Linked DNA regions of Drosophila melanogaster. The gene in region 1 interacts genetically with each later gene. Each region holds a gene or a part of one and is shown in the gene's direction. Other genes may lie near its edges.

What was found.
Region 2: of Pdcd4 (region 1) and eIF4A, changing one suppresses a phenotype caused by changing the other (phenotypic suppression), as found in Drosophila melanogaster (one study listed by BioGRID).

What each region holds. Positions count from the first base shown.
Region 1 is NC_004354.4:13,752,248-13,757,341, reverse strand, and holds the start of Pdcd4 (programmed cell death 4), read left to right. Parts: upstream 1-1,935; 5' UTR 1,936-2,089; exon of another isoform or gene 2,090-2,512; intron 2,513-5,094. Other genes in the region: Rtc1, read right to left, coding at 1-71; CG32625 (uncharacterized protein), read left to right, coding at 582-758, 827-1,084.
Region 2 is NT_033779.5:5,979,838-5,986,523, forward strand, and holds eIF4A (eukaryotic translation initiation factor 4A), read left to right. Parts: upstream 1-1,926; 5' UTR 1,927-1,996; coding exon 1,997-1,998; intron 1,999-2,525; exon of another isoform or gene 2,526-2,982; coding exon of another isoform or gene 2,983-2,984; intron 2,985-3,172; coding exon 3,173-3,399; intron 3,400-4,173; coding exon 4,174-4,787; intron 4,788-4,881; coding exon 4,882-5,105; intron 5,106-5,188; coding exon 5,189-5,333; 3' UTR 5,334-6,072; downstream 6,073-6,686. Other genes in the region: ifc (infertile crescent), read left to right, coding at 6,658-6,686. UniProt on the Drosophila melanogaster protein: ATP-dependent RNA helicase which is a subunit of the eIF4F complex involved in cap recognition and is required for mRNA binding to ribosome.

The sequences.
Region 1 (5,094 bases):
ATTAGGCGCTGCTTGAGGAAGTTGCTGCCGCGGTAAATCAGGCAATTGCCCTCCTGGGCAATGGGCGGCATTTTATAGGCTCTAAACGCACCAATAAATCAAAGAATTTAGCAAATTGATCGGCGCACGTGCGTTAAAAGAGGTAAACAACGTCTATCGCCGGACTATCGGTTATCGATATAGAACACAGTATGGCAGCGCTCCTTAGGGCTGTCAAGTGTTGGAATTATCGCATTTAGTAAATAACATAATAAATTATTTACAAATGAATATATTTCAGAATGCATTTTTATAATTTACACAAGCACTGCAAACAATCGAACGTTTGTATTTTTATATTATTATTTTAAGAAAAAAAAATACTGCAAGCTTCTATTAAAAATACCAAACGCTGTAGGAGATTTGAATAGAATTGTTGTTGCGAAATTCTCTGCTCATTTTGAAAAAAATACTGCAAGCTTCTATTAAAAATACCAAACGCTGTAGGAGATTTGAATAGAATTGTTGTTGCGAAATTCTATGCTCACTTTGAAGTTGACGAAGGGGAAGTTCGCAGAAGGCGAACAAAACTAGTTGTAAAAATGTCTGCGGATCCAAAACTTTATGAATATGTCAATTGTCCCAACTCTAGCTCGCATTTGGTAATGCTGTTTAAAATGCCCTACCATTTGCCGCTTTGTGCCAAGAAATTTCCATCGGACGAATTAGCTCGCTGTCCATATAACAGAACCCATATGTACCCTATTGCCGATATATATGTAGGTTATGAATATATATTATATGTATGTAAGCAAATATTAAATTCAATTGTTTATCCCATTTGCAGGAACATATCATCAAGTGCCCGAGCTACTTACGCGAGGAGAGCCACAGCGACGCAAAAGAAGATGCCAAGGACTGTGATGCCAAGGAAAGTGATGCCAAGGACTGGGATGCCGACCCGCCGGTTTCGACATATGATCCGAATATCCACTGTGAGAAGAACCCTATCATTCGTCGTCTGCACGGAGCTACGCGCTCCTCTCGCCGGGCATTCCGCGAAAAGGAACGCAAGCGATTAATGGATTTGAATACTTTTCCTTAATCTATGAACATACTTACTTACTTACATACATCATATGAATACATACATATACATATACAACATACATACAAATAAACATATTTCATACATTTCGAAAAAGGAGCGTTTTATGTTAGCATAGATCAGCGTTTATTTAAAAATGTATTCAAATTAAAAATTAATAAGAGTTAATTCAAGGAATCTTCAACATATAATTTCATAAATATTCATATGGTAATTAAAATTACAAATAAGAGAGCCACAATTGGCGGCAATTTTGTTTTTTTTTTTTGCTTTCTGCCGCCACTTGGAAATGTACAGCAATTCCTGTTCAATATTTACTTCGTTTTCTTTTGCATCGCTTTCTGCCGCCAATTGGAAATGTGCTGCAATTTGGGTTATGTAGCTGCCCGCCCTGTTCAAAAATTCCTGGAAAATAAGATTTTACTGAATTGAATGTTTTTAAATCTTGATAAAAAGGTAAGATCATTGGGCGAGTATATATATACATCCAGTGAGTGTGTAAATAAAGTAATGTTTCATTGTTTTTACTAAATATGCATATGTTTGCTTGTATGCATTTCTTTCCTTTTTCTTTTAAAAACTACTTCTCTGAGATGCCACTCTGTTGGACCATTCCCAGAAGCCATCAAAATTCAATAAGTTTCGTTTATCTTAGTTTTCCTCATAGGCAGGCTTACTACATAGGATTGAATTTGTATTTACATATATTTGCAAACTTTTTAATAAACTTCCCCGTTTTAAGGGGAAGCTTCGCCAAGTGCGCTTTTATAACCCACCACCTTACCAGAATCGAACAGTCTGGCAGCACGGTCTCGCCGAAAAAGTATAAAAACCCACGTCTCGTCGCTCTCTGGTTCAGTCGAGTTGAGTTTTCACGGCGTGAACAACAGTGTGCGTTATTGGTTCCTTATTCTGCGGTTCTTCAATCCTTTTTGTTCCAATCCTACTGAAAAAGAAATCAAAAGTTCACATCGTTAAGCGGCAAAAACAACAAAAGCGAAGGTGAATAAGGCATAAAAAACAGCACACGCAACTGAATAGTTGTGGGTGTGCGAGTGTGTGTATGCGCGTGTGAAGGAGCCTTTTAGTAAACACTCACACACTTGTGTATTTTTTTTCTGTGAGACACAAGATATTTGAGTGCATTTTTTGCCATTTGCCTTGCCAACCCCTCTCCCCCGCACGCATATAAGAAGAGAAAGAGAGGCAGGGAAAAAATAAAGGAGCCCACGAAGAAAAGCAACAACTATTAAACAGGCTCCTCATCGTATAAAAGCAGCGCAGCCGCCGTCAACGTCAACTGCAGTGGGCCAACGTCGTTGCAGTCGTGTCGTTAGTTTTTGTTCTTGTTGCAGCAGCAGCATCAAAGACAGAAGTAGAGAGAGCGAGCGAAACAGCCGGAGAGACAAAACAAAAAGCACTTAGGTAAGTGGCAAAATAAAAAAAAACGCAGAAACAGCAGCAGCAGCAACAACAACATCGATCTTGACGAAGACCAATTCAAAGAAGCAAGCGAAAAAAACTGCCGGCGAATGCGAATATAAAAGCAAAAACGAAATTACAGTCGCGGTCACAAAATTATGCCATATTAGATGATTTCAATAAAAATAGGTGAAATTTAAGAATTTGTTGATGCGCGTTATTTGCTCCAATTGGAAAACGTTGGTCTACGTGATAAAATCAACCGGCACACACGCACGCACCCGAAAATTCGAGAAAAACTGAAACGAGGAAAGCCGAAACCGAAAAAAAAAACAGCTGCCCACATTGGATGGGGGGTGAATTTGTTTGTTTTTTTTTCTGCCTGCCAAACTTGTTCCTTAGGCTTTTTGATTTTATTTTCGTTGTCTCGAGGTTTATTTGCATTCGGCGCCCCGTCCAATGTTTCCATGTCATCCGATTTTGTTTTCCCATATTATCTACCAGAATTGCTGGCTCACAGTGGTGGTACAATTCACTCTGCATAATTAACGATTATTTAAGTATTTAACAAAATCAGATGCAAATGCAATATGACCTAAAGTATAATATGACTCCAAACCCGAGATGTGTTATTAGAAGGGTTCTGGACGGGGAATTTTGCAAACAATTCCAGGCAAAATACAAAAAAATTTCAATTTTTCTGGTTACTGGATGCCAAACAAATACAGTTCTCAGTTTATAAAAGGCATAACAAAACCATCAAATTTATTCTGTAGTTTCAAAAAGAGTGGGTGACACAAATTGGTTTTTAATTTCTTTTATATCTATTTATGCAATTCATGTGCGCCTAATAGTTCGATCTCTTCTGTTAAAAAAAACAAACAACAGCATTCAATGGTGAGAACGTCTCTGCTTCTTTTTCTTGTTCTTTTTATTGGACATTGCTTATGTATTTTATTTTTTGCGAAATGTTTGCGACGCAATTTCGACAGCGTCACTTTATTTTTATGCTCTTTTCCATCGCTCCTCTTTATCTCTCTCTCCACTTCTTACAAACTCAACCTTTTCCTGATTTCGGGGTTAAAAAATAATTTCGGACACGCATCAATAAAAAGCGCGAAGGTGGAAAAGAGATTCGAAAAAAATGCTGAAAAGCGTTCATTTTGTTATTTCTGTTGTTGTTGTTATCCGAAAAAGGGGGCACAACAAGTGCGAAAGAAGGAGATGAAGAATCAGATGAGAAAGAGACCGGAAGGAGACGGCAATAAAAACATAGAAATTCGTGAGGCGCACAAAATTTTCAAGGTTATACCGGGCAAAACAAACATAAGACCGGTAACAGCATATGTATATGTATGTACATCCATATTACAGAGGGGGAAATACATAAGAATCCGCGTTTAAAGAAGAGGAGAAAGCACAAGCGGCGCAATATAAAAAGCACTCAAAAAACAAAAACAACACATGAAAACACAAAAAAAAAAACAACACATGCGGCTCTTTTTTGCACGTTATCTTTGTTTTCATTTGTATTATGCTGACATCTATATGTACATGGATGAAAGAATTGTATGAGAAGAGTGCCAAATCGACAATTTTACAACCGAAAATTGCGATAATTAATCAGAAAAGTTTATCAAACGAATGTACATAATTTAAATAAATCATATTATGTATTCGTGTTGGTTTGTTTGATTTGATTTTATACATATTTATGTTTGTGCTATATAGCATTTAAATTAAAAGTGCAAAACAGCATAAAAACATTTCAAATAAATAGGGAAAACAAAAGCAGCTGGAAAAGTAAAACATGTGTATGTATGTAGGCACTTATGTACACCAAAAGCAATTACATAGGCATGGAAATACAAGCAACTTTCAATTTAGAGTTAGTGCGAAGGAGACGGCTATATTGCTTGTGGGGGTTGCAAAGCTTTAACGGTAACAAAATTATGTAGTAGCTTTGGTGTTGTTGTTGTTGCGTGACCTTGAATTTCGTCTATAGGGGAGTTTCGATACATGTCCCTATCGCTATCCCTGTCACACCCACGCCCATTGACAAACATTTGCAATTTCCAAGACGCAGTACCGTTATTATATACAGATGCGGTCAAAAAAATGGCGCGAAAGCTGAACATATTATTATGGGTATATCTTAAAAATGAAAACCTAGAAACTTTTTGCAAAATTGTTAGCACTTACAAAAAAAAATCCGTAAAATAGCGACCCCAGTCATTTGTACATAGTATATATTGACTTCTGATCTTGTCATTACAATTACTTTGTATTATTGTGAGCATTAAATTTATGGGCATGCCAAAGAGCTTGTTCTATATTTAGGCAAAAACTATTAGATTTGAATAGCCCGAAAAAGAAACCTAACTGAACTTGGAAAGAAGGGGTTTCTGAGGGGCCATTGTCGGCTACGTGCCAGACATCATGTGTATTTATTTTAGTTCCATGTTTTTCACAGCCGCGACGCGCACAATAAACAAGTAAAACTTTCGCTGACTAACATCCCGTCTTTAAGGCGAGACATGTAAAATATACAAACGAAGGCGTTTCCTAAGAACAGTGACACCAAA
Region 2 (6,686 bases), on another chromosome or scaffold:
GTTATGCACATTTATGTATATACATATAAGTATATATATCTAGTGATTTTGATTGTGATGCATTGCACAAAGCGCCTAATTTTCCGCCTCCGAAAAACTCACATATATACACACACACGCACGGGGGATGAGACCAAGAGCAAGAGCAAGACCAAGGAGACCAAGACAGACAGAAACAGAAACCGTACGCCGCAGCTCCACACACACGTCCGACTCGCTGGGAATTTTCGAAGCGTTCGAGGCGGATTTCAAAAGTCGAATGAGCGCAAAGCAGAACCATAAACCGATTTTGAATTCGAGAAAACCCACTCGAGAGAGTGAGAGATGGAGAGAGAGTGGCGAAAGAGTGCGCGCTGCAGGGGGCTGCTTGCCTTGCCTCTGCTCCAAAGCGCTCAATTCCAAGCCGTGAGTCACCCGTTCACTCACCCACTGCCACTGCTTTCGAGTGGGGCAGAGAGTGAGCGAGCGAGAGCCGTAGCCAGGGCGAGTGCAACGGTGCGCCTGGAGTGGGTGTGTGAGCGAGACGGTCGTACGAGGCGGGCCGTTATTAATCAGCCGGCTGCGGACAATGCAAATGAGCGAGTGAGAGCAGACGATGACTCAACGGCGGCTCTCCGAGTGAGTGTTATGAATCGTCACTTTGTTGGCCGGCACTGAGTAACTGTCATAAATTAAAAATAGCCTTTAATTTCAACGCCTATATGTTCGAATCCCATCTCACATATCATAATGTGCTGCGCTGCACCGCACCCGCAATATGTTAGCATTGGCTGCTTGACAAATCGAATGGAATACCGAGTACCGAATGCCGTATGCCGAATACCGACCGGCTGCTGCTGAACTTTTCCCACTTAATTTTTTGCACACTTATACACACAGGCATACACACACACACACCCGCAGACGGCGACGCACAGCCAACGCGGTTGGCCAAGTAGCGCGTACATGTGTGGGTTTTCGCCATTTAAGGCGTGCACCCAGCACGAAAGTCGCTTTGTACGCAATTTACCCAAAGTGTTGGTCGGTTTTCGATTTTTGTCGAACCACCCCACGTTCAGTAAGTCTAGAGAAATCTCTTTCTAAACGGATTTCCAGGAAACCCACGGCACTCACACTGTTCACACGCTGCGGTAAAAATTCAGAGTGACCGTCGACAAGCGGTAGTACTGGAACACAAGTCGCTGTTCGCTCGAAACAATCGATGTGTGCCAAAATTCGATCACGATATTCCTCGCAATCGATTGTATTCGCTATTTGCCTTCGTAAGTCCCGGTTAGACCAGCGGCATGAAAAGTTTAAATTCACTTCCACATTCGAGTACTATGAGATAAGATTACTGTACTTAAACTCAAAAAGATTCAAAACAACACTGATCGTTAAGCTACTAAGACAAATAGCTGGCCGGTTCCAGTCCCACGATTTAAAAACAGTTCACTGAATAGCAGCATATGTAAAATTCCATACTTTCATATATTTGTATAATATGATTCACATAAGGTTGTTGTTCAAATGGTTGAATACTACAATTAAGTCTTTACAACAAGAGAATGTAATCTGTTGGAAAACAATATTACAATCAAATTTATTAAACAAATATAAGATTCGGGTTTAAATATTTATACTGGTGGAAAACTTTGATGGGCGTAATATCGATAGCAAATAAAATAGCGAAGTCAGGCACCCCAGCTCTGGGTCTGCAGCCCTGAACTTCAAGTGGCACCTCCAAAATAACGTAAAAAAGTGCAAAATAATACAAATTGAATTCAAAATATTTGCATTATTTTATGCTTTGTTTTTCTTTACCATACACACTGCGAAGCCGCAGCGAAATTGCCGGATATCCGCTAACATCTGGCGATAGTTGGCGATCGATCTATCGATAGTCGCTAATGTTTTCTTACATCACTAAAACTTTTGCAAGATGGAGCCTCTTTTGCTTGGTTTTAACAAATCAGTAGCAGCACGTGTATAAAAAGTGCCAAATAATTTTCAGAAAATGTTAGTATATACCCTAGATTAAGCGTTTGAAATGTAAAAAGCCGCAAGGCGATCTTGTGCCGCATCGATTCCGCAACTGCTTAGCATAATTTCCGCGTGTTTTAATGCAAAAAACGCGATTTTAAATTTCTGACGGTCAAAATGAGTGGAAAAAAATTACACGCCCGTATGACAGTGCAGGGAGTGGGAGTGAGAGGCAGCCACCATGCGAGCGAGAGAGAGCGAGCGCAGTGGTTGCTCCAAGAGAGTTTTGTTGCTGGACTCGGTCTTTGCACCCCTCCCCCTTCGCCTTGGCGAAACCTAGAACTCCGAACTGGGGACTTTTGTTGAAGTCCGGTGACGTCGGTGTCGCCACTTGACTGGATTTTATGCACTCTCGTCCGTCCGTTCGCTTGACTCATGACTGGACAATGACGCAGACCGCTGATTCTATCTTTAGTGGACGACGGCATTCGTGGGCTGATTTAGCCTTGCTCCAACTCAATTTTCGATTTGCTTTGGAATATTTGCCTGTCAGTCGGTTTTTTTTTTCTATCCCCACCCCGCCGTACTGTCAAAACTACTGCTATTTTCGATCAACTACTACCATTCGCAACTGGTGTTAGGCAACACTGGCGCCACTGTTACGTGCTAATATCGCTCGGCTGCTCTCGCCCGTTGACATTGACACGAACGACACTAGGGTCGTCCCGCTCGCACACGCTCAGGGGCGGACTCTCGCCGCTTGTCGCTCAAAAAGGCTGCCTAGCTATCGCTTTCGGTCTCATACGTAAAGTCACCGCTTCGCAGAGCGCATCGCAGCACAAACGTAACGGACTAAAAGCAAAGCGCTCGATAGCTCGAGAAAACAACACAGTCGGCGTTCGGCCCGAATTCTCCGTTATTCGTTCTAGACAAATAGGCAAACAGTTGATTGAGTGAACCGGGCCCAAGCCGTCGAAATTCAGGATATAAGTTTACCTAGTCAATTCTTTATTGTTGATAATGTGAGTGGTTGCCAAGCGGCGCTCGCGGTTTTCGATTCTCCCTCCACCAGCCTTACTTACTTTTCGCTTTTCTGCCATTCGCCATAACCAACAATTGTGGCTGGAAAATTTTTTACCCCCGTCCCGCTACTGCTTTTGTTGTTGTTTCCACTGTTCCGCCCCACTAACGCATTCTCGCTTTCTTGCAGGGATGACCGAAATGAGATACCTCAGGATGGCCCCGCCAGCATGGAACCCGAGGGCGTCATCGAGTCCACCTGGCACGAGGTGTACGACAACTTCGATGACATGAACTTGCGCGAGGAGTTGCTGCGCGGCATCTACGGTTATGGTTTCGAGAAGCCGTCGGCCATCCAGCAGCGCGCCATCATTCCCTGTGTGAGGGGTCGCGATGTCATTGCCCAGGCCCAGTCGGGTGAGTAAATGGCTCCGAGTCCCCCATCATCATCTTCACCATCATCCCCCTCGATCAGTCACAAAGAAAAACTTTCGAGAATGTGCAAAATCGGCGAAAAAACAGCACGATGACTCAGCCGCTGCGCCTGTATTTCTTTGTTGAAATTCCGCTTTGCAGCACTCTCTTTCTTCTCCTTATACTCTCTCTCTTCCGTCCGCTCTCTTCGATTGTCGGCGTCGTTGCGCTTGCGCGCCACTTTTCGCTGACCAGCTGCGTTTCGGTTTCTCGGCCGCCAGGCCAGAAGAAAGTTCCCAGAAAGAAGGTCGCTCTTCGAGCGCTCTTGGCGAATTCCAGCTGCTATGCGTTTTTAAGGTCATCTGTTCCAAATGCGATCTACCTACATTGCTCATTCGGCACTAATCCATTTTGCAGGCTCTGCAAAAGAGGCTCTATATACATATTAATATAGTTCATTCTCAACTCCTGTTTTGTGTTCTGGCACTTGCACCTGCCTATCGATGTATAGGCAGGGATTAGTGGCCAGCTCGACCCTGAAATGGCACATCAGCTACCTGATGAAACGATGGACAACTGTCTTTATTCCATTGATCTTTCCGTCATTCAAGTTTACGCCTAACAGAATTGCATAACAAATGGCGTACTGGTTAGTCGAAAATTGGAATTTTGCTGAATTTCCATAAGAATATCACATAGTTAGAAAAGTAATTGTGTATAGTCCGTAGCACACACTATTCTGCATACTAACCATTTTACCTTTAATCTCCTCCGTAGGAACTGGCAAGACTGCCACCTTCTCGATTGCTATCCTTCAGCAAATCGACACGAGCATTCGCGAGTGCCAGGCGCTGATCCTGGCCCCCACTCGCGAGTTGGCCACGCAGATCCAGCGCGTGGTGATGGCGCTCGGCGAGTACATGAAGGTGCACTCGCACGCCTGCATTGGCGGCACTAACGTGCGCGAAGACGCCCGCATCTTGGAATCCGGTTGCCATGTGGTGGTGGGCACTCCTGGCCGCGTCTACGACATGATCAACCGCAAGGTGCTGCGCACCCAGTACATCAAGCTGTTCGTGCTGGATGAGGCCGATGAGATGTTGTCCCGCGGTTTCAAGGATCAGATCCAGGATGTCTTCAAGATGCTGCCCCCAGATGTGCAGGTCATCCTGCTGTCCGCCACCATGCCGCCGGATGTGCTCGAAGTGAGCCGTTGCTTCATGCGTGATCCCGTCAGCATCCTGGTTAAGAAGGAGGAACTGACCCTTGAGGGTATCAAGCAGTTTTACGTCAACGTGAAGCAGGAGAACTGGAAACTGGGCACCCTTTGCGATCTGTACGATACGCTGTCCATCACCCAGTCGGTAATCTTCTGCAACACCCGTCGCAAGGTAAATTCACTCATTCTTATAATTGTGTGAAGCTGGATTAGTTTCAATCGCAAAGCCGATAAGTTGCTAACAAAAATGTCTACCCATTCTTCAGGTGGACCAACTGACCCAGGAGATGTCTATCCACAACTTCACCGTCTCGGCCATGCACGGCGACATGGAGCAGCGTGATCGCGAGGTCATCATGAAACAATTCCGTTCGGGCTCGTCTCGTGTTCTGATTACCACTGATTTACTGGCGCGCGGTATTGATGTGCAGCAGGTGTCGTTGGTCATCAACTATGATCTGCCCTCGAACCGCGAGAACTACATTCATAGGTAAGTGCTCACCACCTCGCCCCTGAATCTACTCAGCTATGTGCTATACTAAACATGATACCATCACTTTCAATCTATTTCAGAATTGGTCGCGGTGGTCGTTTCGGTCGCAAGGGTGTTGCGATCAACTTTATTACAGATGATGATCGACGAATCCTTAAGGATATTGAACAGTTCTACCACACAACAATTGAGGAAATGCCTGCTAATATTGCCGATTTGATTTAAATTTTTTCTGCTGAGCCGCAAAACAACTAAGAAAGAATTCTAAACAAAAAGTGAGTGAGCAAAACAGCAAACAAGAACTGCGAAATCGATAACCGAGCGCAACTATAAATTATTCAAAGATCAACAAGTCAAGTTAAATATTTATTATTCAAATATTAATTCGAAAAGGCAGCCGACCGACCACCCAAAAAAAGGACTAAACCAGGACAGAGCAGCAACATCTTCAGCAGCGGCGCAGCAGCAGTAACATCAGCAGCAGCGGAAGCGGCAGCAACACCACCACCAATTGCCGATTAGCCGGAACCCCTCTGTATCCATTTAGTTCTCTGTGTATCATCAATTTTAAAACTGCGTTGTCAACCAGCAACAACAAATATATACAAATATATAAAAAAAAAAAAACAAAACTTAAAACAACATTTGCATCTATCTAAAAAAAGTAATATCTGAAACCAGGTACAAGATACCACTTGCTAAGAAGAGCGAGGAACTAAACGCAAAAGCCACAATATCAGAACACCTTTTTGCCGCACCTTTGTTTTAGCTTTTTCTAGAACTATTGATAAAAATATATTAAAACAAAACAAAATACATATGTACACATTATGTTTAAATATACCACTCCTAAAAAACAGCTGACAACCGAAGCAACATTTTACGCTAAACACGAACACACAGCGAATCCACCCAGATCTATAAATGTATTAACATATAGCTATATATCTTTCGGGGTATGGCCAAAAAATATATGGTTGCCGCTATTGGGTGTATAGCATGAGTTGATATAGCTGTGGATATATACAATTGGGTGGTATTGTAGATTATGTTTAACAAAGCGGAAGTAAATTCCTTATCTCAAAACAGTAGAACGAAAATGGCTGTTTTTGAAAAGTTTTTATGTATCTGTTACGTACGGTTTGGGTTAACCTCATATTAACCCAAACCTTTTTAGCCAATTTCATAAGCTTTCGCTTTAAAACCAGCTCTCTAAGCAAGATGAGTTCCAAAAGTTAAACTAATTTTTTAAAACTTTCAACACCACTCCACTGCATATACTTTTAAAACGAAAGCGCAGTGGGTAAGTTGCATTTCGTTAAGCCTTCACATCAACTTATCGGTTGAAATTCTGATAACAAGCTATCGATAATCTATCGATTCGACTCGCAGCCCTATCACGTCAGGTCATATTAATTTTTCAATCCGCCCAGTTGGATGTTTGGACAGTTTCCTTCCTCGCGCCGGTCGATAATGTTGGCCAACTAACACCGACCTGTAGCACGTCACCCGTAATAACCCATAACCGCAACCAGTCCAAGCATCCAAGATGGGACAGAAAGTTTCGCGCACCGACTT